3 linked regions of the Astyanax mexicanus genome follow. The protein of the gene in region 1 binds, or shares a complex with, the protein of each later gene. Links are inferred from orthologs where the notes say so. Each region holds a gene or a part of one and is shown on either strand. Other genes may lie near its edges.

Region 1 (11,006 bases):
TGACAGTTATCTGCCCAAGATAATGGGGATCCAGTAAATAAATAAATGGCTATTTAAAATATTAGCAGTGGTTTAAGAGGATAGTTTATAATATATTTGAGCAGTAGTAGTAGTATAACCAACCAGAAGCCTTAATTCTATTTGAACATTTTAACTGTCACAAATGTTAGAGCAGAAGACGTTATATTACACTAAAAATCTCTTACTGATTGGAGAATTAGTTTAATGAACGTATGATAGTGCATCTTGGAGAGTTATTAAAAGTCATATTTAATTTTGATTTGAGTGTAATAAATGAGCTTAAGTGACTGTAGTGACACAGGCATTTATTCTAAAGGGGTAGAATCAAACTATCTGATCAATTGAGGGGGTATGGGATTTTACCACAGGTGGCCATGCAGCATCATGAGGAGATGATTTAGGCAAATGTCAATTTTGCCATAAACATTCTATGTTATGATAACTACAGGTGCTGGTCAACGAATTAGAATAATTTGAAATAGTGCAATCATGAAATTCTTTGAATGCATTTTTTGTGCAGAAAGCAAATCAGGTGTTCACCGCACCTGTCCTACTCGTTAGACTAATCACAGAACTCGTTACCTGGAAAAAAAATTGCTCAGCTGAGCTTTCCAAAAGGCCCATTTAGGCCATTTAACTGTGACACTGTTGTTTTATTGAATTAGAATAATGGAGAAACCGTTTCATTGAATTAGAATAAATGCTCAAATTTTTGTTTTCTGTGAAGAGTGTTCACTGTGCAGTATAAAGTCAGGGTTGAGTAGAATTTCTAAGTTGTAAAATCAATCATGGGTAAGCAGCGCGACCTCTCAACTGGAATAGTGGCTCAAATTCAAGCCCTTCGCCAACAAGGCTTGACCCAAACTAAAATTGCTGAGCAGCTTGGCATCAGCCAGTCTTCCGTCTGCAAAGCTCTCAAGAAAAACTGCAGCAAGCGCACCAACTGTTCCGGCGTCCGAAAAACTTCTGCTAGCGACAACAAGCAGCTGAGAAAGATCGCAGTCAGCAACCGGTTCAAGTCCACTTCCGAGCTCACCGACTTGTGGAACAAGCAGACCGGCGCTGACGTCTCCAGATCAACCACTTACCGTTGTCTGCGCGAACTCGGCTTCAAATCTCACGTTCCAGCAGTAAAACCGATGCTGAACAAGAAACAAATGGAGAAACGGCTGAAGTGGGCCAAAGAACACGGTGAGTGGACTGCTGAAGACTGGCAGAAAGTGGTCTTCAGTGACGAATCACGCTTCTGCATCTCCTTCGGTGACCAAGGTCCTCGTGTCTGGCGTCGTGGTGGCGAAACCTACAACCACGAGTGCGTGAAAAGATCCGTCAAGTTTCCCCAGAGCGTTATGGTCTGGGGATGCATGTCCGCTCGAGGTGTAGGGAAACTCTGCTTCCTCAAGAAGACTGTCAATGCTGCCGTATATCAAGATGTTCTGGAAACGTTCCTGATTCCGACTGTTGAGGAACAGTTCGGCGAAGAAGACTTCATATTTCAACAGGATCTTGCACCGGCTCATGCGGCAAAGTCGACCAAAGATTGGTTCACTAAAAAAACAGCTTGAAGTTTTGGCATGGCCGGCCAACTCGCCTGACCTCAATGTCATTGAAAACCTTTGGGCCATCGTCAAGCGGAAAATTCTCGACAGAAAGCCTACTACGCTGGACCAACTGAAGCAGAACATCGCCACTGCCTGGGAAGCTGTGAGTGCGGAAACTTGCGCCAAGCTGGTCAAATCGATGCCGCGGAGACTTCAGGCAGTCATACAAGCCAAGGGGGCAGGCACAAAATACTGAGAAAGTGATGATTGTAATTATAATAAAAATTATTCTAATTCAATGAAACGGTTTCTCCATTATTCTAATTCAATAAAACAACAGTGTCACAGTTAAATGGCCTAAATGGGCCTTTTGGAAAGCTCAGCTGAGCAAATTTTTTTCCAGGTAACGAGTTCTGTGATTAGTCTAACGAGTAGGACAGGTGCGGTGAACACCTGATTTGCTTTCTGCACAAAAAATGCATTCAAAGAATTTCATGATTGCACTATTTCAAATTATTCTAATTCGTTGACCAGCACCTGTACATTAAGTGAACAAAGTGTCCATAGTTTGAGAGTTGACTTGAGTTTTGTGTACTAAATTCTTTCAAATATTTTATCCTGGTTTTATTCATTTTTTTAGTGTAGACTTATCCCATTATTAAGAACAACAGCTGCTAAAGTGTTGCTCAATGTTTGCATATTTCTATACATGAATGACTGGAAAACACTGAAAAGACCAATGTCATACAATGACCAAGTCAAAAGCCCTGAACTTAATATGAGAATCAAGAATCTGTGAAAACTCACTATTTTTATTTTACTATTATTTTAAGAGCATATTCTGCAAATAAAATACTCAGTATGTGTGTTAGTGTGAATGACTTATTTCAGAACAAATAAAACTGACACTGTTGAAATCATTTCATAGATTTTACTTCAAAATAGTTCAGATATCTCAACACAAACATATCCTTTAGAGTCAAAATAAAGAATGAAAGCAAAATGCAACATTTCTGGAAAAACTACATAAAGTAGCTGTCTGTTTTTAACACCAGTACACAAAATACAGTCAACAGGTTTCAAAAGAAACATGAAAATCATATGGTCATTCTTTCAGCTGAATGGCAATTCCTGGGATTGCTGGTATTACAAAATGTCCATAAAGCTGTGAGGCCCATCAGGATGCCAGGCCACACAGCACATTTACAACTGTGCTGCCAAACATCAACATAAGGCAATAAATGTTCAAATGACACCAATGCAGACAAGCACACACTCAGAGGGGTTTGGGGAGGGCAGAGACTTCCTCCAGACACTCATCATAAGACTCCTTGTATTCATCGTGAGGTTTGATCATGATCACACAGGTGGGACGCTTTGAACCAGCCGAGGAACCCAAATCCTGCAGATGAAATGAAAGGCAGGTGTGTCACAAACTATTGCAAAGAGCATCACAGTCATATATCAATAGTTGTTTATCAAGTTGCTAAGTAATTTGTTAAGCTTAAAATACATCATAAACTGTACACCCAACATGGTCACACTCACCACTTTTGAGGGAATATAAGCATAAGGAAGGTTTCTGTCCTCACACATGACTGGCAAGTGGCAGTAAACATCAATCGGAAGTGTATCTCCAGCAAGCACCACAATCCTGAAAAGGACAGAAAACAAAAGTCGCAAATGTTATTTCTTTAACAGTCCTCAGAAAATTGTTTATTTAATAGCTTCCAAGGTGGTGGCTACCTTCACTATACTAATCTCCACGATTTCTTTAGCAGGGTAATGAAGGCTGTAGTCTATAAATATTCCATAATTGTTTAATGTTAGAATTTAATTAGTTTTTTTTTATTTGCATTTTAGTCACCAAAATTTTCCATAAAGATGGCTAGAAATGTGCTACAACTTGTGGCTAATTAATTTAAACTAACTTTTCTGTATTTTTCATTCATGTTTTCACATTTTCATTTAGAATTAAGGCTTTTGGTTGGTTTTACTGCTCAACTGTATAATAAATTATCACATTTTTTAATAAATGTCTATGGCAACTGTCATATGTTTTTGGAAAAAAGTAGCATCTACTCCTCCAGAGAGTAAACAGAGCGCACAGATCAACTGTTTTTGTAAAAAAAAATAGGTAGAGTCAGGTATTGTCAGTCTTGTTTAAGAGAAAAACCTAATCTATTTTTAAACACTTTGTGGTCGAACACTGACCCTTGGCACAATTACCCAGCCAATGCAAGGTTTTCTTGTTTTGGGAATTTTGCAGAACAGTGAGAACTCCAGGATCTAAAATGGAGTGAACCCACCTTCTACAGTCACACTTTAATTCCTTGCTATTGAGCCAAAAGAGCACATGGTTACGTATGAGTAAAGTTCCTTAAAGCACCCGGTCCATCATTTTAACTCAAGAAGTCCCTATGTGACACACATTGCAGAATAGTGGGTGAATGGATGTTACTTTTTCTGATCTTATTTACAAAATACAGGAGAAATGGGATAGGGCTGGAGACAAAAATAGCTCATTTATACAATGCATTTTCTGTTCCAAGCATTTCAACAGTTTAAAGGCTTAAATAAAATGTTTTGCTTTTCATAGAACTAGTTCTGACCTGACTTCAAGAAGAAAACAATAAGTGAGTAAATTGTTGTTGTGTCCTTTAAGTTACATGAAAGAGCTGCAAATTCAATTTATCAAATTCAATTTTAAAAATGATCAATATTCAGAAATTGGTCTGGGCTCTTATGGGTTTAAAATGTATGAATAGCTTGTCAGTTATGAGTTAGGAGTATCAGAAGTGACTGAGATTGACTTTAGATTAAAATAATCTGTATTTTACCCAGTCTCTCCTTTGTTTATGAACTTCTGCACTTCTTTAACTCCCCGGCGAATCTGTTTCAGCTTGGCCGCTGCAAAACAAAATAAAAAATTACACATTACAGGATCACTCAGGATCTGTCTCGTTCTTTTTATAAGTGTTATATACGTCTGTTAGCTTTTGGGGACTGAAAATAGAATGTTTGTTTGCTGTTCTCACCTTTTTTGACGCATTTATAAAGCTTTTTGCTGAGTTTTCTCGAGGCTAAAGGGTTCGCGATGGGGTTTATATTGGCTATTAAATCCTGGTAGGATCTCTCTGTGGCTCCAGCCTCTTCCTCAGTTGCGCTCTTCTCCTTCTTTATCTTCGTCATATTTAACACTGTGAAATAACGGCAGATAAACTGTTTATTGGGTTTTTAATGCAGTGTTTCGCCGCGCAGCAGCACAAACACACGTGTTGGAGCTGCGTTACTGCCACCAGAGACCCTTCCGCTCTGTCGCCAGCCTGCACTCAGTTTCTGTTCATGACCGCCCCTAGTGAACGGAGGACTGAACCTGGAGTTACCGAAGTACCATAGACATAATAAACATTTTTGTTTAATTAATGTTGTATACAATACAACTCAACAGCCTAAAACAGATACAATATTAGGTCAAATACACATTATATACAACCAACAACTCAAGCACATAAAAACAAAAACACAGATAAACAAACCTAAACAAACATAAAAAAGAAAAGTGGGATTCAAACAAAATCTAAAAGCTTCAAAACATCAATACACTTAGTTTTGTTAATATAAAATGTACCTAAAATTATAATTAAAATTACTGTAAAATTTGTATGGTTAAATAAAGGGACATCAAAAAAAAATAAAATATATATCCGTTTTTAAAGGGGATTTCCTCACCCAACCTCTTCACTTCTAAAAAAAGATCAATTCAAAAAGAGCAAGAAAATCCACAATAAAAAAAATAAATGTAGACATAATATACATAGACACCTCATCATGGGCTGAAGCATCGCCGCCATATTGGTTGGGTCTGTGTAGATAGATAGATAGATAGATAGATACTTTATGTGTATGTATGTGTGTATTTATGTTTTATTCCCATTTCAAATTAACAATAAAACTTTTTTCTTCATTAAAATATCAAATTAATTCATTAATACACTTATTTATACACATTAATATTCCATACCACGTATGTCTTTGTTAAAGAGCATAATACAACGTATTTCAGCTTAAAAGCAGGTATTTGTAATGTGTGTCTGAATCATAACTACATCTCTGCAGTATGTAACAAACCAACCGTGTGAAAATCGGGTAAAAATGGCTAGAGTTGTGATTATTATAGTTGTATTAAAAACCTTCCTCAATACAAAGGCACTTGGGGCGCATGGGAGACCCATCCAATATGGCGGCCCCGCTGATAATCAGCTCCAATATGCGGCATATATGTGTATTATGTCTATGCGTAGTACATGTAAATGCAGGCCAAAGAATCAAAGGGCGTGGCGAATAAGCGAGGATACTGTCAATCATTTCGTCCATCAGCCAATCGTACAACAGAGATCAACTGTCAAAATATTATATAATTAATATTTGAAACAAATAAAGAGACCACTTCAGTTTCAAAATCAATTTCTCTGGTTTTGCTTTTTATAGCAATGTATATGGGTAATGCTGCAGACATGTCAATCATCCAATCAATTAAACCAATTAAATTCTTGCTCTTAGCCATCAAGCACTAATTATTGATCCCTAAATATTTAAATCGGTCGTTGAGCACAATGTTTGTGGTATAGTTACCAGGATGACTGTTTCTCTGTGACTTTGAATTATCATCTGTTATCAGCACTGATAAATACAACCTGACTACAACAAGCTGAAATGCTGTTTCTGCTGCATCCAGCCTCTTAAAGTTAGATCTTATTTACAGCATACGTGTTTACACCTGTCAAAACTTTATTGTATCCTGTAACTCTATTCATAGTAACATGGTGTAATAACAATATTAAATCATAATAATTAAACATTTATAAACTATGACTGCTCTCACTTCATAAAAAATATTTAATATATTAAACTGAGACATAAGATTAGCAATATTAGCTAAATCTGGATTTACAGTTTATGTAAATATGTTTTTATTTTCGTTTATTTTCTTTAATATGTTGAACTTTTTACCCACAACACCAAATATTCCTGCAGTTATGGGGAAATTTAAGCCTTTTCAATACCACTAAAATTAAGAACACTTTAGCAATACAAAATGGCACATTACATTTAAGACTACAGACTTTAGAGTAAGAGTATTCCTGGATGATCTGATAAATATTTGAAACAAACATTAAACTTGTATATCAAATTTGAAAATAGTAAAAAAAAAAAAAAAAAAAAAAACCTTTGGGAGATTTTAAAGATAAAACAGCTAAAAATTACAAGGATAACGTTTCAGCTGTTTTAATGAAACAACAAAAAGCAAAAGTAATGCTGTACTGAACATGCCACATACTACACAACTAAACACATACATTTCCTATAGGCATCTGAGTTCTCAGTGTCCGCACACTACAAGAAAAAACTAGACACATGGCTGTGAGGAGATATATATATATATACACATAATATTACAATTCACTTTCTATAACTTAAATTATTTATATATATAAAAATATCTAACACTGTAGAAAGTGACAAGTTTCTCTTTTGTGATATGCACTTTATATGTACAATGTAAGGTGCACTAACGCTATATTTTTCTGACATATATTTTTTTATAATATTAGAATATGTTAAATAGAGTCTGCTCTTTGGGCACTGCTGATCTAACATTAAGGCACAAAACATGACACATCCCAAAATTGTCAGTATGTCAGTAATAGTGTGACCACTATTAAGTAAACCTTTACAAAGAGGCTTTTCAGGCCATCCTCTCACTCTATGTAATGCCTTCAGAATGCTAACCTCAGAAGTTACAGTACAAAGACATTTGGATTGCACATTGTACTGCTAGAGAATATGTTGTAAACGTAACAGGGTCCCAAACAAACACAATACCTCCCAATCACAAGGTTCAATGAGGTATTATAGTTCTGAAAATTAAGGTACCATGAAGTGTAATACAGTTGTATTACATTGTGGTTGAATCATCTTATACATATAAATACAGTTTTGTATCAGTGTTGACTTCCCAAAAACGCTCATTACAAAATCAAAGAAAAAAATAGTAAAAGGGGGAAAAAATAAACAAACAAACAAAATTACAGAATGTTTTAAATAAAGACAAAAACATAAATCTGTACATGGCAATAAACAAGAACACATAGGTATTTAACACTGCAAAAAACGAAACAAATAAACCATCATATCAGGGACTGAATTAGCTGAAACACCAATAAGCCATAATATTAAATCCACCTGCCTAATACTGTGTTTGTTGGGTATGGACTTCACAAGACATAACCAGCATTAACCTTCGAAGCAATCTGTGCTGTAGTAGCTCATCTGTGGTATTGAACCTAAACCTGGCCTGGCCTTCCTTCCCTATGCACAGCCCTTTTTCTCAGTTCCAACAGATTAACTTCAAAAACTGACTGTTCGCTTGTTGTCTAATGTGTAACTCTCACCCCATGATAGGTGTCACTGCAATAATATAATCAATGTTATTCACTTCATCTGTCTGTGGTGTCAATATTATGGCTGAACAGTGTGCGCATATATAGATCAGTCATGCACTGTTCCAAGAGCTTCAAGTCGGGGTAGTATAAAAAAAACCACACCGGTCATCAAGACTCCTGGGTTTTTACAGCGATGCCCACATGCGCATGACGAATAGTGCGCCCATGAAGTTTGTACCCGTCCTGCTTGACTACGGCTATAATACCGGGCTCCACTCCTTCTGCTGGAGTGTGGCACACTATCTCATGCTGATAAGGGTCATACGTGGACCCCACAGGTTCCATCTTCTCCAGTCCATGTTTGGTGAAAACTTCTTGTAGTCTTCCCTGGATTTGGGCCAGGTTTTCAGTCAGACTGGTTGTCTCTGTGCTCCCTGTAGTTTTCTCCAACATGTCAGCTACTTCAACTAGGTCCCGACAAAAACTTTGAATCCCTGAAGAAGAGACAGAAAATATTAATTATCAAAACAAACTACTGCTGATTAGTGGTTATAAATAGCTGTAATAAAAGCTTTACAGTCATTTTATAATTCAATTGGTATGAATTAGAACTGATCTAACACTGACTGGCAGTTGAGGAAATACATTTTTTAAATGTATTCATTTTAGAAAATAACTGATTTACTACTACAAAATAATTCTGATTATGTTAAAATCTATCATGTATAATTCTAACCTAAATATGTATACACTGTACACTTGATCTACATGGTTACCAGTAATGTTGCTAATAAACTTTCACCAGTCAATAGCAAGGCGCAACTATATTTTCGTTCTGCAATAAATATATATTAAAAAAAAGATTTGTGAGTTTTAAGTGCTAATTTTAATTTGGACAACAAATATGTTTAGGCTGATCGACTGTATCTAAACCAAGTGAGAAAACCTGTAATTTGTAATTATGAAAAAACATGTAGTCTATAATGCCTATAAAACACATTTAACTTTACCAAAGAGCTTGGCGTCCTCGACAAACTTCTGTGTTCTTCTACGGACATTGTCAGAGTCAGCAACAGCTCTTTTGTACCTCTCCTGTGAAACACATGGACATTATACCATATATTTTAACCATGTTTTTTTTTTTTACACCATCCTTACAAAATACATGTAGAACTGCATTAAACCATTGGCAATGAACATTAGCAAAGTGAGTACATGGAGTAAAGCATTGAGTAATCAACAAGACAAATAAACAGAACTATAATTCTGAGAATAAACTTTTTATCTGAGTGATTAATTTAGTCCCATTAAGTATCTTACTCAATAAATTACTTACTGTAAGATCTTGAACCTGCTCCTCCAGTTTGTCAGCCTTCATCTCCAAATTCCTGACGTGTGTAACTGTGTGATTCCGATCATCATCGTCGCCATCATCATTATGGCAGTCGTTTCCTCTCTGGGCTACAGTACTGAAGAAACCAACATTTGAGCTAGAGCAAAAAAAAAAAAGAGAAATCAAAACGTGAAATGCAAAAAATAAATAAATAAATAAATAAAAATACTGAAACGGATCTTAAAAAAAAAATAAAAAAAAAAGACATAAAAGTCAAGAGTCAGAATCAAGTGAAAGCTTCATATTAGTTAGCTTAGTTCTTCTATAGCCAGGGTTTAATACAAGTGTTTCTATCTTTACCAAAGACAACAGCTGTGAGTATTAATGTTTTCTTGTTTTTATTTGTATTACTGTATTTTTTTAATAGAAACATAAATGTTCCTGAATGCAATTCTCCAAAATAAACCCTCAAAAGAATATTTAGATTTTGCATCTTTCCTTTTTCCCTTAACCGGCTTTCTAAAATGTTACATTAAACAGTTAAATTAGTGCAAAATACAAAAATTTTTTTGAGGACTGACGGTGATGGAGGAGCCAACAGCGGGAAAATCTTTAGAAATTAGAAATGTGGTATTGTGTCCAAAAGCGATAAAGAAAGTCATTCTAAATTACTAATATAACTACAATACAATACAATAATTCAAATAACTTAACTGTTTATTATAAACCTGTTTCAGAGGTTTACCTTATTTATAACTTATGTATTTATCTTATCTTAACTTTTTTCCTTAATGAGGAAAAGAGTAACCTCTATGAAGAATTTCCTTAAGACAATTTTACATCAAGTCAGAAAATTACGTTTAAGGCTACCTTTTATTGCAAGTCTAAAAACATATTTTTTTTACCAATTATAATAAAAAACATCATTAAAAAAATTCTTATCTCTTGAGGAGATTTTGAAAGAAAAAAAGGCACTTGAGTGAATCCAGCCCCAGTATTAAAGAAACAGTGTTAGCTTAGCTACAGAAGCTGTGCTGGCACAGTAAAACACCTGTCAGCATCTTAAAATAGATCAATTTAATGTTTAATGGTAGTGTACGGATAGGTTTGTACATAGAGTGTCTTTATAAATGTTCGGCGCAGTGAGTAATGCAAAAAAAATGCAGCGACCTCTCCAGAAAAAAAAAAACAGCTGGCTATTAAATTATTGGCAATCACGCAGCATTACACCATTACACTCTACTCCACTGGCACGTAGGATCATTTGGGCCTTTGGGTAGGATAGCTAACGCTATACAAACAGCCAACTACATTTTAAATTAGCTTCGTTAACTAGTTAACTAAAGTGGACAACATTTGTGCTCAGTTTTGTGTTGCTAATTAACTACCTCACCGGCTAAATCGAGTTATTGATCCACTTTGATAACGCCAGCTGTGTTTTTAACCTAGCTAAGCCAAGCTAGCGTTAGCTAAGTAGCTATTTAAAAACCTAGTTCAGCCAACCTGGGCGCACACACACTAATATATATGTCGTTTCCCTTTACTTACACACTCAAATAACCCGAAAATAGATAATATTTTAAAGTATCATCAGTTTAGTAGCTAGTTAAATAGGTTTACAGCAGAAGAAACATTTAAATATGGCTAGCGTTAATAGTTAGCGTT
Region 2 (10,612 bases), about 8.3 Mb from region 1:
ACCTGCAACAGTAGAACACTGAAGCAGAGAAGAGGAGGCCGGCAGAGCCAGAACTCAAACCTAGAACAGGTGAGAGCTCTGGCGATAGAGAGGAGGGCCTGGAGACACTCAGAGAATGGATAAACAGGTTCATCATTTTACATACTGCATTTGGTCATATATAAATAAATACACCACAGCTGGAACACAAGCTTACAGTCTTTGTAGTTTGCACCAAATAGCAATTGTTCACTTCAATGACCTCAGCTTTTATATGCTTATATACACCAACATAAACCGATTAATATGCATAGGTAAAAAGAACATTTCAAAAAAACAGCGGGAACTGTAGTGGTTTAATAAAATGGCTATGCTATCTGTATTCTTGTTTCAGTTCAAAACCACAGTGCATGTAAACAATCCCAGTAAATATATATTTTTAATCTATCCATTAATACAGCCCCCCCAAATACGGTTATTTTAGACTAAGGTGCCCAAAAGTATGAAGGTTTAAATTTTTAACTGACAATACTTTAAATGAACTAATTTGTATAATGCAAATTTTAGAGACAGAACTAAATCTTTTACATACAAAACATTAATGGGTGGTCAATACAAGACAAATATCAATTTAAAGATACTAATCTATTACTCTCCCATTGTTTGACTAATACTGATGGATAAAATGAGGCCAATAGAAAAAAAAAACAAGACAAAGTTGATCAGTGTTCTTTAAGCACTGATAACCAAAAAAACACCACCAGAAACATAGTGTTAGTCATTAAAACAATGTATAATATATTTTAAATTTAAATAAAGTTCCAATTTGTTTCCCGGTTAGTCCTTAACATCAACAAACAGGTGTTATTTTACATTCAACACATACGCTCTCACTTACCCTTGCAAGCTGATGCTCATTTTCTATTGCATTGTGCAGCCGTACTATTCCCACATACTCTTTGCCTGAAACACACGGCAAGAGTAGTAAGGAGAGGCCACTGGTTTCACTGGGTGAGGTCAGACTCACTAATCACAAAACCAACTAAACAGAAATTCATAGAAAAAAAAGAACAAAAAAAAAAAAGACTAACTTACCAGCGCTCTGTTGAGACTTGACAAGTCGTGTGGCTCGGTCAACACACACAATCAGGCAGCCTGTGACCTTCGGGTCCAGGGTGCCGCTGTGGCCGGTCTTCTCCACACGCAGGATTCGTTTGATCCAGGCAACCACTTCATGAGAGGAAGGGTTAGCTGGTTTGTCCAGATTAATAAAGCCAGACCTGAACACAGAAACGTAAGATTTTAAAGTACTTCTACCAGCTCAAATAAAAAATATATATATTTTAATTTTACTATAAGCCATCAGTCTTGGGTGATAGATAGATGGTCATCTTTGCACAGAATGCTAATGCAATCTATATAAGATCATCATGTGGCTATTTTGAATGTGCTGCCTGTTAGCCTTATATCAGCTTACCGGACATAATCGTGAATGTTTCTCTTCAGTGGGTTTGAGCCGTGTGGCAGAGGTGTGTAATGTGCCGTCCTTATGTTCAGCTTGTCGAAGTTCTAGATGACAAAACAAAACAAAAAACATTAAAAGATAATCAAACAAGAACAAACAAGTACTAAAAACTTAGCTTGCATAGTTATTTATTTTAAATCTTAATCAATATTTATGATTTAAAGGGATATTAGCGTTAATATTCTCTAAAAATCTAAAAGTGGTGATCAGAACAGTCCGCTCGTCTTTGTTGGCGCTGGTCTGATCTCCCCACACCGGCTGTTCTGAACATCCCACCACTGCTCCAGTAGAACACTGAACCAGCAGAGGATAAACAGGCAACCGTAACCCTGCAGCCCAGAACGGACAGCAGAAGCCGCAGAGAGACAGAGCCGGCAGCACTCAGAGAATGGATAAACACGTTCATCATGTCACCTGCTGAGTTGGCCATGAAGGAAGACTTAGGAATTTAAGAGGAACAGTTACCTTCAATAGTAAAGGCCATTGAGAGGTGTCAAGCTTGGCAACTTTGGATTCAGGTTTAATGAGGAAATCGCCAGTTTCTTGGATCTCCTGAGGGCCAAACACAAAGCAAAACACATGATCAATGTGACAAGAAACAAAAACATGCAATGTCTCTCCCTGGCATATTATCTAAGAGCAAGTACTTAACAAAAAATATCTGCTGAGGTGTTAAGTACAACAAGTACTAGTCTAAAACTGCTCATTTGTTTTTTCTGGGGGTGATTGGGATATGAAGTTCTCTAGATTTACTGTTTATAGGCATGTGGTTTTAGCACATTGTTTTATTCATAAATTACCCATCTCCCAGATTCCACATAAAAATTTCATTCAATGCTTTCAGACTGAAAAATGCAAAGTCAAGCTAATATTCACATTTAAACAATGCTAATGTTCTGCCTTTCAGTGAACTTTACATTAAAAAAAAAAAAAGTACAAAAACTGTATTTGAATGATTATCCTTGATGTGACAGATTTTATATCTTGGCATACTCTACACCAGTCTTTAACATTACTGCTGGGTGATTTTACAAACAAAATTACGAAGCTTAGCTCTGCTAAATGAAATAATTGGAACAGAACAGCTGTCGTGTTTAGACAATATAACTGAAACCTTAGCTAGCTGTCTAGGTTGGTAATTATTTAACTGTTTGAAATTCTTTACAGATTTAATTCCCCATTTGGTTTAGTTACAATAAAAAATAGCATAAAAAGTCAGCAATAAAAGATATCAAACAAGCTGGTGTGAGATTGGTTAGTCCAACCTAATACTCTGACTTTAGATAACAAAAGTATTAACAGTATAATGGTTGATCAAATTGTCAAATTACCCCAATTTCATCATTGGAAATCTTTGACTTCTTCTTCTTCTCCTTCTTAGCTGATCCAACTGTGAAGGAAAAAACAACTATTAAAACAAGCACATTCAGCGAGATATTACCAAAGGACTTGAGCTCTACTGCCTAAACCTAAAAATGTTGTCTACCTACCCAGACATGTGAATTCTGGGTTAAATCCAGTGTCTCTCTCACGTGTATACCTGTCAGTATAATTATTTATAATTTACAGAGTCTAGCCACCTTGGTATAACATTAAAGCTAATAAAACTAAAGAGAAATATCTTAAATGTTTTAAAAGTAAAGCAGCTAGTAGTGGCCAACTATAGTAGCACAGCCAGCACTTGCTTAGTCCTTTTTCGACATAAAACAAATACGTCAGGCTGTATCAGTTTGAAAAAGAAGAAATTGATTTTCATACATTTTTTTTTTACTATCTAGTTTTTTAATTTCAGCCTTTCCCAAACAGAATTTCAAGAAAAATGAAAATCTTTTCTTTATTCTCATTTGACCATTTTTGTCTCTTTCCAAAATGGAAAAATCTGAAAATAAAAAACAGATTAGTTTTCATTTTTCCAGAAAACGAATTGGAAAAATTACACTGCACTACATAAAAAATTACACTCAATTTTCCATTTAGCCTTAACCACTCAGAAACACTGACCACGTTTCAAGAGACTAGGTAACGTTAAATGGTTAAGTTTCTTCTAGATGAGTTAACTAGCTAATTAACTGGATTGTGCAATCCATATTAAGAAAAATAAATTCACAACATTAACACTTATAAGAGAGCAATCAATTTAAATTAAAAACGACAAAAAAACAAAGCACAATGCTTCAGCATTTTCTTTACAGCTTCATGTAAAAAAAAAAAAAAAAAGCTGTGTTAACATTGCAAATTCAGTAGCCCTTAGGTTTTTAACTATTTAATACTTTCATTTTCTACCCCAGCTACACAATATAAATTATTCAGGAATGTTCAAATTTTGGAATAGAAAACAACCAACTGTACTAAACATGCAATGTATTAATAGGTAACTTAGTTAACAAATTGTAGCGATTTAGTGCCTTGGTGGTACAGCACCCACGTGGCGAACGCAGACAACACGTGGTGCACAAACCCAAGCTAGCTAGCTAAAATAATTTCCAAGACTAATTTAATAAATATTCTCTCTAAACTAATAATCATCCTTAATACGGCATTATCACTGACACGTTAAAAATGCATTAAGCTAGGTTTGTCAATTTAATTTTGATGACTAACTTACTGGGGAAAATGTAGGCAGTTAGCCAAGCTAATCTAGCCTAGCTAACGCCAAGTTCTCTAACCGGGTGTTAGTAGGTGAAAAATACTACGCTAGTTATCTTTGCAAAATACCATAAAATAAAGCGATGAAATAAAATATAGAACTAACACGAGTTAAAGTCAAGCTACCAGGCTTTTACACAGCTAAGCTAAAGAGTTTTGCTGGTAAAAGTCGGCCAAGTCATGCACCTCAGTGAGCTAAAGTAACCTTCAAACTAAGCTAAGCTTCAAAATACAAACAATCTAAAACATTTAAACAACTTTAAAAGCATTTTAGCTCCATTAAATGACATAAGCTACTAATTCTGCTCAAGCAAAGAGTCTTTAAAACTGCAGCTAGCTCCCCAAATCTCAATCTCCCCTGCAGCTGCGCCACCCTGCTCTTCATTTTCTCTACCTTCAGAGGTCTAACTATCTATTTACTAAGCTTTACACAAAGCTAAAACATATTAACCGCGTCCTAAAGATGCAGAAACTCACAAACGAAGCTATACAACACAAAAAAAGCTTTAGAAATAATATAAAACACAGAGTTCAACACTGCACCCACTTTCTCCGTCCGCCATCTTCCCCTGCTGCCCGCCGAAGACCAGACCAGCACGTGTGAAGACTCTCACAGAGACCCAAGTCTCGCGGGATAATTCTGCCTAATCTCGCGATAAGAAGGAAAAACGTTTTTATACAATGCTTGGGCAGCAGGTGGAGACACATGCCGAGAGATAAAGCTGCTTAATGTTGATGTATATAAACGAAGTACATCTTTATTGTACTTAAGTACTAGAATTTTATATCTAAATATCTGAAGTATCCGTATTTACTCTGGTATTATTTGTTTCTCCTGCTTCCACTTTTTCTCACTACATATTTTCAATTAATGTAACACTTTTAATCTAATACGTTCTTATGTGCTGCATCCAGAAGAGGATCTAGGATTTTTCTGAGTAAGGGGCCACAATATTTATAGAAGGGCCAAGTATTATTTCACCAGTCACACCATGTTCAAGATAATTTTATGTCAAAACTTTTACACAAAACAATACAAACAAAATAACATGAAATTGAATGCTACTAATGCAGCTGCCTTCAGATTGGACAACAGCTATGATTTAAGACGCAGTCCAGTGTACTTCAGTGGGAGAGGGGGGGCTATAAAGGAACAATATGCATGCTATATGCTATGAGTACGCAACCATTAAGATCATAATACTTTTCCAAGTGTACAGTAGTGACACAGCTATCCAAACAGACTACACTGGGAGACGGAGGCTATATAAGGCATGATAGTGGTTGAAGCAACTGTGACTTGTTGACAACTGCCACTAGCTGAGTAACTCATTAAACGGCTCGTCAGAATGATATGCCGGTAAAATTGACTGCAGTTGTAAGAAATCTTATATTTAGTAAAATGTGTCTAAAAGCAAAAAAAAAAAAGGAAGGAACCCTAATTTACCATGCAAATTTCAGACACATGCTAGGAGAAATAAACAATTCTTCTAGTGTAACTTTCCCAGTGTACAGTTGTGACTGCCTGCCTGCACAAACTGCAATGAGAGATGTGGACTTTATAAGATACGATATCCGCATGTATTTACATCATGATGGTGAGTCCTCAAAAACTCACAAAAACATCAAACCAACCATACTAAAACACCACAACACCTGCATAGCAATCCTCCAATCAAATTAAAGGTGATGTCTGTAAGTTTTGGGATTTAGGGCCCTCTCTGGTGAGAATGGGTAATTGTACCGAGCATGCGGAAGAATCATTTTAAACTGGTCGGGTGTGATGAGGTCTCCTTTCAGAGCGGATGAATCCGATTCCAGGTTATGTTCAGTCAGAGAGAGAGAGCGTGCTTAGTAAGAAACTTCACTTCTTCGTTTCTTTGGTTTTACTCTGGGTAAATGAGCTACTGAGCTCTGATTTCCCCTTCTGAAGTCGCCATTGCTCCACCAGCCACTCGCGTTCAGTAAAACTGAGCCGGATCCTCTTTTAGAGGCTGTGAATGTGACGTAAAGATGCGTGACATGGTCAGAAGAACTTCTGCGAAAAGTGACCCGACAGCCCAGTTTTAAGAATTAATATATTAGGCTTAGCAGGGATGATCATTCCAGCACACTGGTACCATTAAACACAATATTTTATCCCTTCACCACTCAGAAATGCTTCTGCTTTCAGTTTAGAAACACAATAATACGGACTGCCACTTTAACTAGATAGAAAATTAAATGCACCAATCAAATCTTCAGAAAAATCACTGGAGAGGAGTAAACCCACTTCTGTTCAGAATCTGTTCTGAGTCTCTCCGGCCACCAGGGGGAGTCCTGAAATAAGTGTACAATGAACAATGAATATTATATATACATGATCAACATTTCCCCAATAATAGGAGATGTAATGACAGTTAGACAAGACAAACGAAAAAAAACAACAACAATGTATGCAAGCTGTAAAATATATTTATTTGCATGGGGTGGTTTTGAGGCTTTAGTTGTGTGTACAATCATTTTTTTACACTACAGTAAAAATACAGTAAAAATAAAATGCCTGCAGCAAACAGACCTTCAAATGTACAAACTGCCTATTATTCTTCAGCAATTTGGGATCGTACCTGTTATCTGTACAACACATCGTGACATTACCAAAAACATTGACTTTGCTCTTCACAGTTTCCTTTGCTCACCCTGTATATGTATCCCAAATTCTGTGTCAACAACAGACCTCACAACCATTTTACATTATGGAACATGGAAATAAGAACTGCTTAAAATGTCTGTAAGCAAGTGCCTGATCACAGAGCAGCACAACTGATTGTATTTTTATTAAAATCACCAAACTGCAAAAAGCGGCAATTAATTAAACTGTCGCTCAAATGATCGTTTTTTAATTTAACAGTATTTAATTTAATTTAATAGTGAAACCTAGCTAGCTAGCACTCTTTAAACCTGTGTTAAGAAATGTAATTTTTACACTGACAAGACAAAAGTTATGGGAAAACAGAATGTAAATTGAAGTGTTACCACAGACAACAGCTTGGGAAAGGTCACACCTGCATAAGTTTTGAGTGAAGCTGAACACTGGCTAGACATGACAAAAGTCATGGGACACAATACTAGACACTGAACCATGAACTGTACCATGTCAGCGCATTGTATTATAGCAAGAATTATTTGACTAATTGACATTTTGTACAATTGGTGGATGTGTATTTTATAGTGCTCAATTTATTATACAATAATTAAACAATTAAGTGTTGTTTTGTTCTGAAACCTATGCGCTTTCATATCTGTGAACTTTGGACCAGCAATCTTAAGCATATCTAAGATGATATTTAAGATAGCTGTAAGGGGAAAACATATGAATTAAGAAAATGCTGAAGAAAACAGATTTATTTTGGCCACGTTTTGCATTCTAAATAGCTACAAATATTTATAAAATTCTATTATATACTATTCTGACCGCATACTGGACAACTGGACTATAGTCTTTAGTGAAATATAAGCTAGTCTTTAGTGAAATATAAGCAATACGCTGCCACTGACAATAAGTTACTTGAGGTTAAATCACAACATGGTCAAAGGTGGAGGAATGCTGATCACTCCCACATTGAAGTAATCTCCATTAAATCTGCTGCCTGTTCTGTTATCAGTTAAAGAACAGGGTCTGGTTCAGCAGCACAGGAAATAAACTCCTCCTCCTCCTCCTCCTCTGATGATGATGATGATGACTGATCCCCAAGAACTTCAAATCATCAGCTTCCTGTTCACACTGATTCATAAGCTTGTTCCATTTCAATATTAGGATTATTATTAAGACATTTGTTCACATTTTACCTCCTGGTGTTATTATTTTTCATCCCTTACACATTCCAACTAACGTCTGACATGACTGGCGATAAAATAAAAAAAAAAGGTTCCTTATTCCTTATTAGGGAATATTACAGAAAAACATACATTTAAGCACACACATTGGGTATCTGGAATGCCTACCAACGCACAAACTGTGAAATTGTACAGTCAAAAATTTTCATTTTGTGGGACATGTAGGAGATAAAAATATGTATTCAACATGCCATTCAAAATTGTCACAGTTGCTACGTCGCTGGCCATCTGATTATAATTACACCACCCCAACCATAATAGCTCCACCCACTTACTTTGAGAAGGTAGAGTTTCAAAAGATAAAAAACTAACAAACAGATACAAAACAAAAGAAAACAAAAAGCAACTGTCAGTTCATAGGGTGTGACTTCTTTTGGCTATTCTGAAAATATACAGCTCTGGAAAAAAATAAGAGACCACTTAAAAATGATGTGTTTTTTTATTTTACCAAATTAAAAACCTCTGGAATATAATCAAGAGGAAGATGGATGATCACAAGACATCAAACCAAGCTGAACTGCTTGACTTTTTGCATCAGGAGTGGCATATAGTTATCCAAAAGCAGTGTGTAAGACTGGTGGAGGAGAACATGCCAAGATGCATGAAAACTGTAATTAAATTTCACAGTTATTCCACCAAATATAGATTTCTGAACTCTTAAACTTTATGAATATGAATGTTTCTGTTGTCTTTGCATAATTTGAGGTCTGGGAGCTCTGCGTCTTTTTTGGTATTTCAGTAATTTCTCATTTTCTGCAAATAAATGCTCTAAATGATAATATTTTAATTTGGAATTTGGGAGAAATGTTGTCTTTAGTTTATAGAATAAAACAACAATGGTGATTTTACTCAGACATATAGCTATAAAAAGCAAAATCAGCAAAACTGATTCAGAAACTGAAGTGGTTTCTAAATTTTTTCTATAAGTGTATACCAAAAATTGATGACAAAAAGCAGAACATGAAGATGAAAATTGGATGCATAGCACCACATAGAGAGAAGATAGATCTTAAAAGACCATAATGAAAAAAGAACACATAAAGGTTTAATCCTAAATCATACACTACTCCCTGGTACTATAGTATTGAAGTGGACTATAGTACCGTCATTTCAATAAAGAATTATACATTTGTAATTGAACAAAACTGACAATTATTCATGTAAAAATCAGAAGTCTTTAACTATCTGTACATACAAATGTAGTTTTATTTTCCTTATATACTTCACTACGTAGGGAGTGTACAGTATTTGATATTCAGCAAGAATTGTTCTTAAAAAGCTCTGTTTTCTTCATTTACAAGACAACACTGAAAAGAGGGTTTTCGAAAATGTCCACCTTTTCAAAAAGCTTAATTTTCAGTAAATGTTGGAAAAAATAAAACTTAAACTAGAAAAATAAACTTAAAAGTCTAAGAATCCGTGTAGCAGAGAAGAGTGATAAATATGGAAAAACGGTGGGGGAGGTTGGAATAACGGTGGTCTATTATCATTTAAAGATAGAGGCACTCAAAACCGCTGTTCTAAACAGGGTTGTAAATGGTTGATGTGGTGCTTCTTTCTTGTGCTATTTTGACCAAAGCCTGTCATACACATTTCATTAAGGCCCAAAGTAGCCGTGACATTTAAGGCCACCAGAGAGACAGACCCTCTAAAAGTTCTTAACCTTTGATTTAAATGCACAAAACATGTATAAAGGATATGACTGATCTGTACCGATTACGCTAATGCTATTTCCGTTATCCTTTGGTGTGTCCTAGTGTTAGCTGTTTGCTGTTCAAGCCTGAAGGCCGAGGGAGCGGGCTGTGTTGAGCACGTCGTCTCTGGTCAGATAACAGCCACAGAGCTGGCGGAGCCCAGTGAAGGACTCTCTACCATGCAGCACTCTCCAGTTATCAATGAAAAGAACCTAAACAGATAGAAAAAGATTTTGCTTCTTTAGTTTTACACAAAAGCCAAAGCCTAATCTAGCTACTAATGTAGCTCACAAGTAAAAAATCTTGCTTGCTTACCTTGCCAGGTTTAAGTTTGACCCACAGCTCGTTCTCAGGCTTCCTCAGCTCAGTAGTTAGCTGTCTGTGGGCGACATACCAGCGCTGCACCACGTTGTGAGGAACCGTGTTCATCGTTGCACGGTCATAGTTATTATACCTAAACAACAAAGAGGCATTATGACAATATCATTATCACAGCATAAACTATTGAATATCTCAGTCAAAAAACACAGACCAGCTAGAGCAGTGCTACGTGCAGAAGCTCATTTTAGTGCTTCAAATCAGCCTTAAACAACATTTGTATTTGCTGGTGGACATAACAGCATTGCTTTCCCACATCAAGAACCCATGCATCAACAACTTAACAATGAATGCACCATGTCATGCCTTTTTACTAACTGTGAACTCCTGCACCAGTAAAGATTTACAGAATCAATTTTGTCAAATCCAGAAGACAAGCCAACAACTCTCTTGCAGCTTTAAGTAGGCAAGTCATTTGATGATTCGATGATAGTGTGCAAATCGAGTAGCTACTCCCATCTCATTTAAGCCACATTTTTTAAAATCTGTGTTATAATTTATTTCACTTTTCCAT
Region 3 (10,448 bases), on another chromosome or scaffold:
AACAATTTCCAAGGCATTAATTAAGTTTTGACACTCTCTTAAGTCCGCAGTCCCGTCCTAGTGATGCAAATGTTGCAAATGTGTTGCAAATGTTCCAAATGTTTACATTAACTCCGAGGTTTATGACTTGGAGGAATGTAAACAGAATTTTACCCTAAACTCGCATTTAGGGCTCTCGGGCGAGGCTGAGTGAAGAAATAGTCAGTAAATGTCATTTTGAAATTTAAGGTTGTTTGAAAAAAAAGATTACTCCAAGGTTTTTTTAGAGTGTTCTGGGTTCGAAGTTTCCTTATAGGCCGTAAAGTGGGGGTAGTGTGTGTTTGTGTCCAAGCAATGAAGAAATCCTCTGGTTAATCCACTACAGGTGTATACAAAAGGGTCTTTAACACTAGAACAGTCTTCTGTGATGTAGCACCCAAGAAAAGCAACCATGCAGCCTATGCTATGGGTGTGGCTTACAGGTGTGCGAGATGAACAGATACTTCATTTAGAGTGACGTTATCAGAGTATTGAAATATATGGTTTAATATACTGACATTGATGCACAATAATTATAGTATTTCTAAGTTAGCAACAAGAATAAAGCAGCTAACCATTTCTGACAACAAGTCCCAGCTGCCACTGTAGATCTCTGGCGGGAGATTATAAACACGTAGCACGTTATCTGCACTATTTGAGAGGATACAGGATCCGTCTGGAGCCCTGAAAGAGAGAAAAAAAAAAAGATAATGGTTTACTTAATATGCACCGTTTCCATTGACACGTATCACTTTTCAATGTTTGCTCACCACTTGCAGCCTTTGAGGTAGTTCTCAGGAGTGTGGGTGTATTCTGCCCAGGACCCGGTCAACATCTGGGGGTTCTGGCTGAAATCTAGCCCAAGACTGTAAAACAAATGACAAAGTCAGATTTCATTTAAAAAACATACCCAAAACATCTTAAACAAGGCTAACTGTACTTACTACTGACGCTGGCAGGATGTGTCCTGTGGACTGGTGTCATCCAACTGATCTCCTCTTTCAGCTTCTTCAACTGCATCCTTGTTTTCTGCTCCATTCTGGTGCCACTCTTTCTCTCCTCCTTGTGAGTCTCCTGCTGTTTTTCCATCCTCCTCTGACTTACTGAGGTCTGAGACACCAACGGAACATTGACTTTCAATTGGATATATTACTTTAGGACGTAATAGGGCTAGTCAACTACACTGCAAAAAATCCATTGGCAAAAACTAGACAAAATATATGCAAATTATGTAATGGGGTAAGCAAAATGTTCTTAGTAAGATTTCTTACAAAAAGCAATGGCAAAAATCTCAAAATGAGTGAAGTAACACCTAAATCAAGCAAAAGTCACTGTTTTGGACACAAGAATCAGAATAACTTGATTGTGCTTATTTTGAGTTCAAATTACTTAAAGTAAGGTATAAATTAAGAAATGATTAAGAAATGATAAGTAAGAATGATTAAGATAAGTATCCCTAAAATAAGCAAAATAATCTAACACTTACAATGCTTAGTAAGACAAAAAGTCTTATCAGAGAAGAAAATAAGATTTATTGCCTTAAATTTAGAAGATTTCACTTGCTAAGATTTAGATTTTTGCAGTGTAAACATGGTTTTATGGTTTCAAACCCACCACTGAATAAAAACACTAGCTCAGAGATTCTCTAAAATACAATGTTTCACTAGGATTAGTGCACAAAACTTTTTGGCAACCAAAATTACTCTGCAAAATATGTATAAAAAATAAATAATTAATAAATTAATAAATGTGTTCCATCAAAATTTAAGTGAAGAGACGAAATACTTTATACCAAACTTTTTTTTTATAAAATGAAAAATCTATTTAGGTCATTTAATATATTTAACAAGAAACAAAGTCAAAATTAATTAAAAAATCTGGCCTAGTGCTTCATTTTGTTTGGTTTCTGTCAAAAATAAATAAATAAATAAAAATAATCAGTGCATCCCTAATTATAAGACCACACAGCAGAAGAAGCTCACCTTTGTCTGTGATCAGAACAATGCCTTGATTCCCACCATCATCAAATGTGGTATCTACACCTGTATCAGTTGGACAAATGTCCAACCCTACTCCTTCAGCAAGACGTGGCTGCTTGGCAGCAGGCGGTACCGCCTCCTCCTCTGCCTCCTCCTGAGCTCCACTGATGGGCAGATTCTGTGAACCTTCTTGAGGAGGCTCTCCATCAGCTTCTGCTTCCTGCCCTGCTGCTCCCAAACCCCCACCTTCACTACTCTGCCCTGGTTCCGACATATCAAGAACTTTCTTTTATTTAAAAAATATGTGCTGCTTTTCTTCAATACGGCTCGTGTGCAAAAGATTTTCAAGACGAGTGGTTTAATTCTCCGTCCCGTCTGTCAAATTGAAATCAAGTAGGTGCTACTGGGGTAATGTTTCTTGCGACGGTGGTTTGATCGTACTCTTAATGGCACTGGGAACATCACAGCAAAAGCAAGACCCTGGCGACACAAGAAGGAAAGAAAATCACAGCATTATTAAAAAAGTAGAAATGGAAAAAAATACATCTAAAACTATAAACAATGATGTTCAAACTATTTGAAAATTTTAAACATAACTGTATCAAGACTAGATACCAGTAGATACCAGTTTTAAATTAAACAACAACTCTGGTAAGTACTGGTAAGATGTTGCCATTCTTTACTTTAGTTAGTTTCTTTTTCAATGCAAGTGGTAGAGCTAAGCTACTGTTTGATTGGCTAATAAATGTATATTCTGACGGACAGACAATAGATCTCAGTCTTGGTTAAGTGCAAGAATACACAAGAAAGAAGGAAAAACAATGTCCACTGCAAAGGACAGAGGGTCTGAAAGTGAGGGGACAACTTATAAAGCATTAATTTACAAAAAAAACAAGCTGTACTATTCTTTGGCTATGATTAATTATCTCGTTCCCACACCTTAATAAATCGTGGTCATGCCTTAATTATTTAGTTTTAACATGATGTCACCTTATGCTGACCTTTTTGGACAATTTTTAAGCGATGTCACTTTCACAGACGAATTTCCAGAGTCTGGACAAAATCATGAGTCTTGCTAGAGTGGAGTTGCGGTCACGTCATCTCAATGGTTCAGTGTAAGGTGGTTAGGGATGAAAGTGTTAGTCAGTCTTTTTCTCTTCCTGATGTTAAGATAAAATCAACCATGTTTAATATTATCGTAAGCCTTGAGACTCGGCTCACAAAAATAGTGATGTCAACAATCAATAGGAGAGCTACAGGAAGCCGCAGGGCAAGAATATTTTATGTGACTGTTTACAAACGATTTGAAAAAGAACACATTTTGCAGTTAATTTGCCTTACTTTAATATGTACATTATTTTAAACACAGGTGGCACTTTTTGCACAGTTATTTTATTTGTGCAGTGATATTTGTGATACAAACAAGTTCAATAAATACAATTTTTGCAAGGATGGTGTTCTTTAGGATGGTATTTGCATTAATTCTACCTAAAACAAAGACGTATAGCAGTGAAAGTGTGATTCTTTGCTAGACAAGGTTGAAGCATAAAAGGGGAAAAGAAGGGGCAGAGGCATGTTCTCCTCCACCAGTCTTACACACTGCTTGTGATTATCAATCTTCCTCTTGATTATATTCCAGAGATTTATATATATATATATATATATATATATATATATATATATATATATATTCCAGACAATTTGGTAAATTCAAGAAATCATTAAGTGTTCTCTTTTTTTTTCTCCCCAGAGCTGTGCATACAAAATTTTACACTCATTACTAGGCATTATAGTCGGCTATGCACTTAAATTAGTTAATAAAATAGTTGAATTAGTTGCAAATATCAATAATTTATCCCTGAGGTACAGGATGAAGCTCTTAAAAAAATGAATGATTAAGAAAATTATCCCTAAACTAAGCAAAATAATCTAACACTTAAGCATAAAATGGGAACAGAAGTTCATAGGCAGAGTTGAACACAAAATGCATTATATTAAAACAATTAAGAACCAACAGTGTGACAGAAAAATAAACTGTTGATGGGGACAAAAGTTGTGAGTCTATATTTAATATATATTATGTGTATATAAAACTCCACCAGAAGCATGATGGGAAATAATCTTAGAAAGAGAATCTGTGCAAAATCGTAGCCTGTAAGTAAAAAGTCTGTGTCTTGTCTTTAGATGTGAGAGAATTTCAGACTTTAGCCTAAAGTCTTTTCAGAGTCTTTTTTAAAGTCGTGTAGTGTATGGACAGCATAAGGGGCTTCATAACTTGCTGTATAGGATTTACGACAAAACTGTAAATAACCCAGATAATCAGATTAATGCACAAATACAGTATTATAGCTGTTAGCTTAAGTCAAATTGGTAGCTGAACAGTGAATATTAGCCTAGCTAATGTTTACAGGCCATTTAACATTAGCTTGCTAGCGTTAGGTTAACTAGTTAGCTAAGGTTAGCTAGTTAACTGTCACAGCAGTACTAGCAGCTCAGACTATCCTCTCAGCAGCTGTATTTATTTATCTATCTATCGGCGGGTGTGGGTATAAATGTATCAGCACGCTGTACAGAGTAAAATACTGCAGCAGTTTAATGTTTTTAATCAGAGTTTAGCTCCAGCCTGGCTGTTACCTGTAGTTCTGCTCCGCTGCTTCCTCCAGCCGTGACTTTCTGAGGATAGCTCTGCTGCCAGCAGTTAAACTCGCTCCCACAGCTGAACCTGTCCCTATAACAACACGAACAGCAGAGAGTCCCGGGTTTAAATCACACACTACGGCCTGAATCCAGCAGACACTCGTGCTGCGTGTTTACACACGAACAGACCCGCCATATCAGCAATATAAACACCGCCAGATATCGCGAGATCTGTGAGTATTTAACAGCGCTGTAATATCAGACTCAACCACCAGAGGTCACTCGCGGACCATCGCTCACAATCAGGCAAATCGTGGGTCCAAATCTGAATATTATTGAAAAGTTACGTTATTTTAGTAATTCTATTAAAAATGTGAAACTCATTTGTTATATAGATATATTACACACAACAGAGTGATCTATTCTAACCATTTATTTATTTTATTGTTGATGATTATTACAGAAAATAGAAGGTTTCAGTGTAACAATGTAACATATTTTTTCATTACCCCTAAACAACTTAAAAGTTCTTTACTTTTAATTATTTATATTGTATATATTGTAGTGTTTATTTTATCTATTTTTATCTATTTATTTTTGCATCTCATCTCATCATTTACAGCTAATGAAAATCCAAAAGTAAGTATCTCATATTATACAGTTCTGGAAAAAAAATTAAAAGAAAACAATGTTTATTTTCCCCAAACATATACCTAAAAATAGCAACATCAGAAAAACTGATTCAGAAACTGAAATGGTTCAGATTTTGCCATCTATAGGTATATAGTAAATAAACATTGTTGTTTTAATTTATAAACTATGGACAAAAATTTTTCATTCCAAATAAAAATACTGTTAAGAGCATTTATTTTCAGAAAATGAGAAATGGCTAAAATAACAAAAAGATGCAGAGCTTTCAGATCTCAAATAATTTTATATTATAAAGTTTTAAGAAAGTTTTTTTTAGAAATCAATATTTGGTGGAATAACCTGTTTTTTAATCACAGTTTTCATTCATCTTGGCATGTATTCCTCCACCAGTCTTACACACTACTTGTGATCATCAATCTTCCTCTTAATTATACTCCAGATTTATATATTTTATATATATTCCAGACAATTTGGTAAATTCAAGAAATCATTTTTAAGTGGTCTTATATTTTTTTTTTCCAGAGCTGTGCACACAAAATTGTACACTCATTACTAGGCAATATTTTTTAGTCGCACTTTAATTTGTTTAATTAGTTGCAAATATCAATAATTCATCCTTGAGGTACAGGATGAAGGTCTTAAAAAAAGGCTCTTTAGTGAAGGTGATTTTTTTAACATAATCAATCAATCAAGTCTTTTTTAAAAAGGTTTACAAAATGTAAATGATAAAACAACAAGGCAACACAAGTCTGTATCCTTAATAATAAGCATTTATTTAGTATTCGTCTTCTTTTTCAAACAAACAAAACCCCAAACTATTTACACGCTGATTAATCAGGACATTACTACTTTGTTGCTAACATTTTCAGTATTGACTTCAGAAAAGTTTTATCTGACTCGTTTAAAAGTTTAGCTACAGGGCTAAGCTGACAGGTAAGAACGAAAAGGCAAATGAACATTTTCTTATCTCCGTTACTGTTAATGTCTTGACATGAGCGGCATGAAAGGAGATTCAGATTCAATACTGATTTTGTCATCGCCCTTTGCATAAAACCAAAATATGGGAAAGAAAATCATCCATAACATGAAATGTTTTTGGGAAAATGTAAGATGTTTCTACAGTCACTACCATTATGTGTTTGGAGTAGCATTAGCTTAGATAACAGATTTTGTTCACATTCTAATAAAGCCCACAGTCAACAAATATACCATACAGTCCAGATTTTAGACCTGTGTCTAAGCCTTTTTCTTGCAAATACATGTAATGGTAATGATGACTCACCCCAGTTAACCTATTGTCATTATCAAGTCTTAAACTGCCTGGTTTGAAACTTTTGCCACAATAAAAATATGGGACTGCATTTCTACGAGCCCTGTAGTCACATCTACGACCTGCTGACTTGGAGAGAGTTGGAGAGAATCTAAAATGTAGAGATAGTCCAGGTAACGTTAGAAAGACAATGCACTTCTTATTAAGAGCACTGCCACACTGTAAAACCTGCATGCAGTGCAAAACCTCGTTACACAACCTGCACTTACCTACAGAGCAGCGCAAATGTACAAGCAGACTAGGGTCTCCAAATAAAGTCAGACTCCAGGGTTAATTACACTGCATTATCTAATTAATTCTAGTACAGAATAAAAAAAGGATATAGGGCTTTGCAACTGTGCAATGCAATGTCCCATACTATTCAGTCAGATTTTGTCTGAACAGGTTACAGTAAGTCACGTCTTTGCATGTGTTTAATTTAGGGCTCAAATGGTTCATTTTTTTTAATCTTCTCGATTAGAAGCAAAGCTTTGATTTTTCTCATTAGAAGATTTTTTAAAGAGCTGTTTAGGCAGCACTGAAGTAAAAGAATGTTGAGCTAAGCCTGGTCAACACATAATTTTTCAATCTTTAAGTAGAGGCTTGTCTGTACAGTTAAGGCATGTCTGAGGAAAGAAAAAAAGAATAATTATCACCACACCCAACAGAAAAAAGCAAAAGTCATGTATACACAGTTTACAGGGCAGCAACTTGCCATGAGTATGTAGTCTTTGTATACATCTGTATTTTTGTGTACGAGTTGGTGTTTGAATACAGTTCAAACCAATCAAGACAGCAGTTGATGCAAGTAGGGTTGTGTGAGATTTGAGTATCTGATGATCATGCAGCGTGTGTGCTGAACATGCCCGGCCATGTATGCAGCAGGGCCGGGGCATACAGCTGCATTACTAGTCTGTACAGGTTTTAACTGCCATAGTTCTGTAGTTCCAGTATCCAGAGGCTCCACTCTTCCACTTATCCACTCCCACTTTCAGTCACCTGGAGCTAAAGCTACCTTTAGAGAGACTCATCTGTCGGTTTTCATTTAATAGCTGTTCTTGAAACGTAGTTTCATGGATAAAAGAGACGAGGGGTCCCCGCTTCTTTCCTGTACTGTCGTTTCGCTCTGTTCTGGAAAGGAGATGATCTCTAGGGTCAGCCTCCTCCAGCTTCACGTGTGTTAAGTGAGAGAGGGGTAAACAGCTGGTCAACATCCTGCTCTGGATCTCTGGAATACTGGTGTAGAAAGAAGAAAAGAGAGCAAGTAATCAGTTAAAACGAAAGAGGATCATCACAAATCAATATCAGACTGGAATTCCAAAAATGTTTTAGCATCATTTCAGCATCATAAAAAGGTTAAGAAGGAGGATCACAGTGGTTTATGTGGTTTAAGAAACTCCTCTAAAATGCATTAAAAATTAAAAGTGCTAATATACGCGAACAGTGAACGGTGCTGTAAAGCAAAGCATACCTTAGGAAATCTTCACTTGCAGATATTATTTATAGTGTAGACAATACACCAATAGTAAAACTAAAAAGTGTAAAATTGAATTGTTGACATAATATGAATATGTTGTTCTGAATCTGGAACTTGGTCTGGTCTGCATACTGTGTGAAAAAAAATTATACACATACCAATAGAAGTTCTCCAAAATGGCTATCAAGCATTTTTTTTATTTCCCAAATGTCTACTTAACAGGAATTAAAAACCTTCTTTTAGTATTTCAATTAAAGTCAATGTAAATAATGTAATTCCAAGTCATTTCAGAGCATTTCCATTGGTTCAAGTCATCAAATTTCTGTATAAAAAAAAAACGACCAAATTATAGTGATATGCAAAAAATTAATGAACGTAAAATTTCTCTCTAATCTAATTAATCCGAATCTTGCAACTGTTTTGTATGTTGTGTGAAAAATATGAAAATAAATATGCCTTAAAATGCCATAAAAACCTAAACTATGAATAGAAGTCAATATAAACAGTATATAACTTAGGAAAATTTATAATGGCCCATTTATTTAAAAAAAAAAAAAAAAAAAAAAAAAAAAAAAAAAAAAAAAACAGACCCTGCATTTTTATTTCAAAAGAAATGTAAGACATTAGCTTTTACTACTTGTTTTGGAATTTAAATAAAATGGCTCTGTGTATTCTTACTATTTTCATAACTAAGCAATAATCAACAACACGATGAAGGTGCAGCAGACAGAGATTAGCTTACAGAAAGTTAGAATTTTCCTTTAAAAGTCTACATGACATGCAAAACAAGTGAGAAAAATGCATTTATTACCAGACAGGCAGTTCTGCTGCACAGGCGACTCCATGCTGACAGTAATCCGCAGCAGTGTAGCAGGCAGTCTATAGAACCAGTTTCACCAGCTCAACCATCCTTCCTCTGGTCCTCCTCCAAGGCCACTTCTCCATCCTTTAATGGAACCATGCGCAGAATTCCACTTTGAACTCCAGCCTCTGATGAAAGCTTTTTTTGTTTGTTTGTTTGTCATCTAGCACCCAGAATCGATCAGTTCATAAACCTTCAGACAGCGGTGTGTCTTTAAGCGTGAAATCTCTGAACGGCTGGAGTTCCATCGTGAAGTTCACAATTCCAAACGAGGAGCAGAGCTGAAGCTGGTGTTCCTCATTACGACATTCAGAGTATCGGATGTCTCATTAGCCTCCTTCATTGGTGTGGAATCAAGCTTAGGGTCAGTCCTAAGAATGGCTGAGAGTTAGTGGAAGGGGGTGTATGATCTATGTACATGTACACAGGGAGTGAAGAGGAGATATACTGCTGTTTGTTTCTGTCTTGCTAATTTATACGCTAACAGAAAGGGTCTGGCTTCAGCAGGATTTTAATTGTCCAAACGTGCCATGTCTCCAAAGTGCCCCTTTCATCTTATTGTCCCCACAGGGTCCTCACAGTTTTGAAAGTGTGTGAAAAGTGCATAGCGAGAGTATCCAGGCAGTGCTTGTTCTTTTTTTCTTTTATTTTCCTCTTTACGAACTGCAAAAAGTCAACTGCCGTGATACTCCCTTATCGCCCATGTGGAAACAGAAAGGCTACTAACGGTCCACAGACTGTGATGGCAGGTCTGAGGTCATACATATATACATCCCTCATGTTTTTCCGGTCATATCCACAATGTTCCAGCATGTTGTAGACACGTCCATCTTTCCATCAACAGAAAACAAAAATTCTAGAGGCAATTTCTAGATGGGGAAGAAAACTGTTAAAGCGTCAAGAGTTGCCTTCGTGCATTTCAAAGTACCCAAAAAAATGGTTTGTGCTGTTTGCTGTTTTTTTTTTTTTTGTTAGTTTTTATGATTTTTGCTTTCTTTTCCAGAAACACGAACCATTTCTTTGCTCTGGATCAACATAAAGTATCTTAAATCCACTGTGATGGAAAAATAGGCCAAAAAAGTACAACAAAAAACAAAACAAATTCAGTAAACAAAACTGGGTCAGCTTTGTAATAACTCCTCATCTCGATGCTAGTTTGATGCTCAAAGCACGGAGAAACCATCATTCTTTTTGCCACACCCATTTCACTACAAGAGGGAGGGGTATTATCATGTGATTACCACAACCCCACCTCCAAACGTTTTTGAATTGAGTCACATTTCCACACCATCACCCTACCCCCACCCACCCCACTAAAGAAGAAAAGAAAGAAATGCACCCACAAATGTCCAAGTGTTTTTTTTTTGTAAACAACCAAAACTCCAGTATGGAATAGATTTTTTTTTTCTTTTTCATTTTCATAGTCATATTGTCTATGAACAGGATTGTAGAGGCAGTGTGTTCTAGCGGTAGTCATCTCGACTTTGTCCATCTGCTTGCTGAACAGGTTTTCCG

What was found.
Region 2: nhp2 (region 1) and dkc1 share a complex: the UniProt entries of both Homo sapiens proteins name them as parts of the H/ACA small nucleolar ribonucleoprotein (H/ACA snoRNP) complex. The link is inferred for Astyanax mexicanus from reciprocal best matches to the Homo sapiens genes NHP2 and DKC1.
Region 3: nhp2 (region 1) and wrap53 share a complex: the UniProt entries of both Homo sapiens proteins name them as parts of the telomerase holoenzyme complex. The link is inferred for Astyanax mexicanus from reciprocal best matches to the Homo sapiens genes NHP2 and WRAP53.

What each region holds. Positions count from the first base shown.
Region 1 is NC_064424.1:10,694,925-10,705,930, reverse strand, and holds nhp2 (H/ACA ribonucleoprotein complex subunit 2-like protein), read right to left. Parts: upstream 4,936-11,006; 5' UTR 4,755-4,935; coding exon 4,601-4,754; intron 4,473-4,600; coding exon 4,403-4,472; intron 3,217-4,402; coding exon 3,111-3,216; intron 2,965-3,110; coding exon 2,839-2,964; 3' UTR 2,480-2,838; downstream 1-2,479. Other genes in the region: grpel2 (grpE protein homolog 2, mitochondrial), read right to left, coding at 8,177-8,502, 9,019-9,100, 9,345-9,498. UniProt on the Homo sapiens protein: Required for ribosome biogenesis and telomere maintenance. Part of the H/ACA small nucleolar ribonucleoprotein (H/ACA snoRNP) complex, which catalyzes pseudouridylation of rRNA.
Region 2 is NC_064424.1:18,993,157-19,003,768, reverse strand, and holds the start of dkc1 (H/ACA ribonucleoprotein complex subunit DKC1), read right to left. Parts: upstream 4,765-10,612; 5' UTR 4,714-4,764; coding exon 4,698-4,713; intron 2,895-4,697; coding exon 2,836-2,894; intron 2,057-2,835; coding exon 1,970-2,056; intron 1,919-1,969; exon of another isoform or gene 1,707-1,918; intron 1,549-1,706; coding exon 1,457-1,548; intron 1,417-1,456; exon of another isoform or gene 1,337-1,416; intron 1,260-1,336; coding exon 1,075-1,259; intron 943-1,074; coding exon 878-942; intron 142-877; exon of another isoform or gene 1-141. Other genes in the region: tmlhe (trimethyllysine dioxygenase, mitochondrial), read right to left, coding at 9,801-9,932, 10,036-10,174.
Region 3 is NC_064415.1:15,363,839-15,374,286, forward strand, and holds the start of wrap53 (telomerase Cajal body protein 1), read right to left. Parts: upstream 4,849-10,448; 5' UTR 4,632-4,848; intron 2,478-4,631; 5' UTR 2,272-2,477; coding exon 2,001-2,271; intron 1,129-2,000; coding exon 963-1,128; intron 885-962; coding exon 789-884; intron 703-788; coding exon 594-702; intron 1-593. UniProt on the Homo sapiens protein: RNA chaperone that plays a key role in telomere maintenance and RNA localization to Cajal bodies. Specifically recognizes and binds the Cajal body box (CAB box) present in both small Cajal body RNAs (scaRNAs) and telomerase RNA template component (TERC).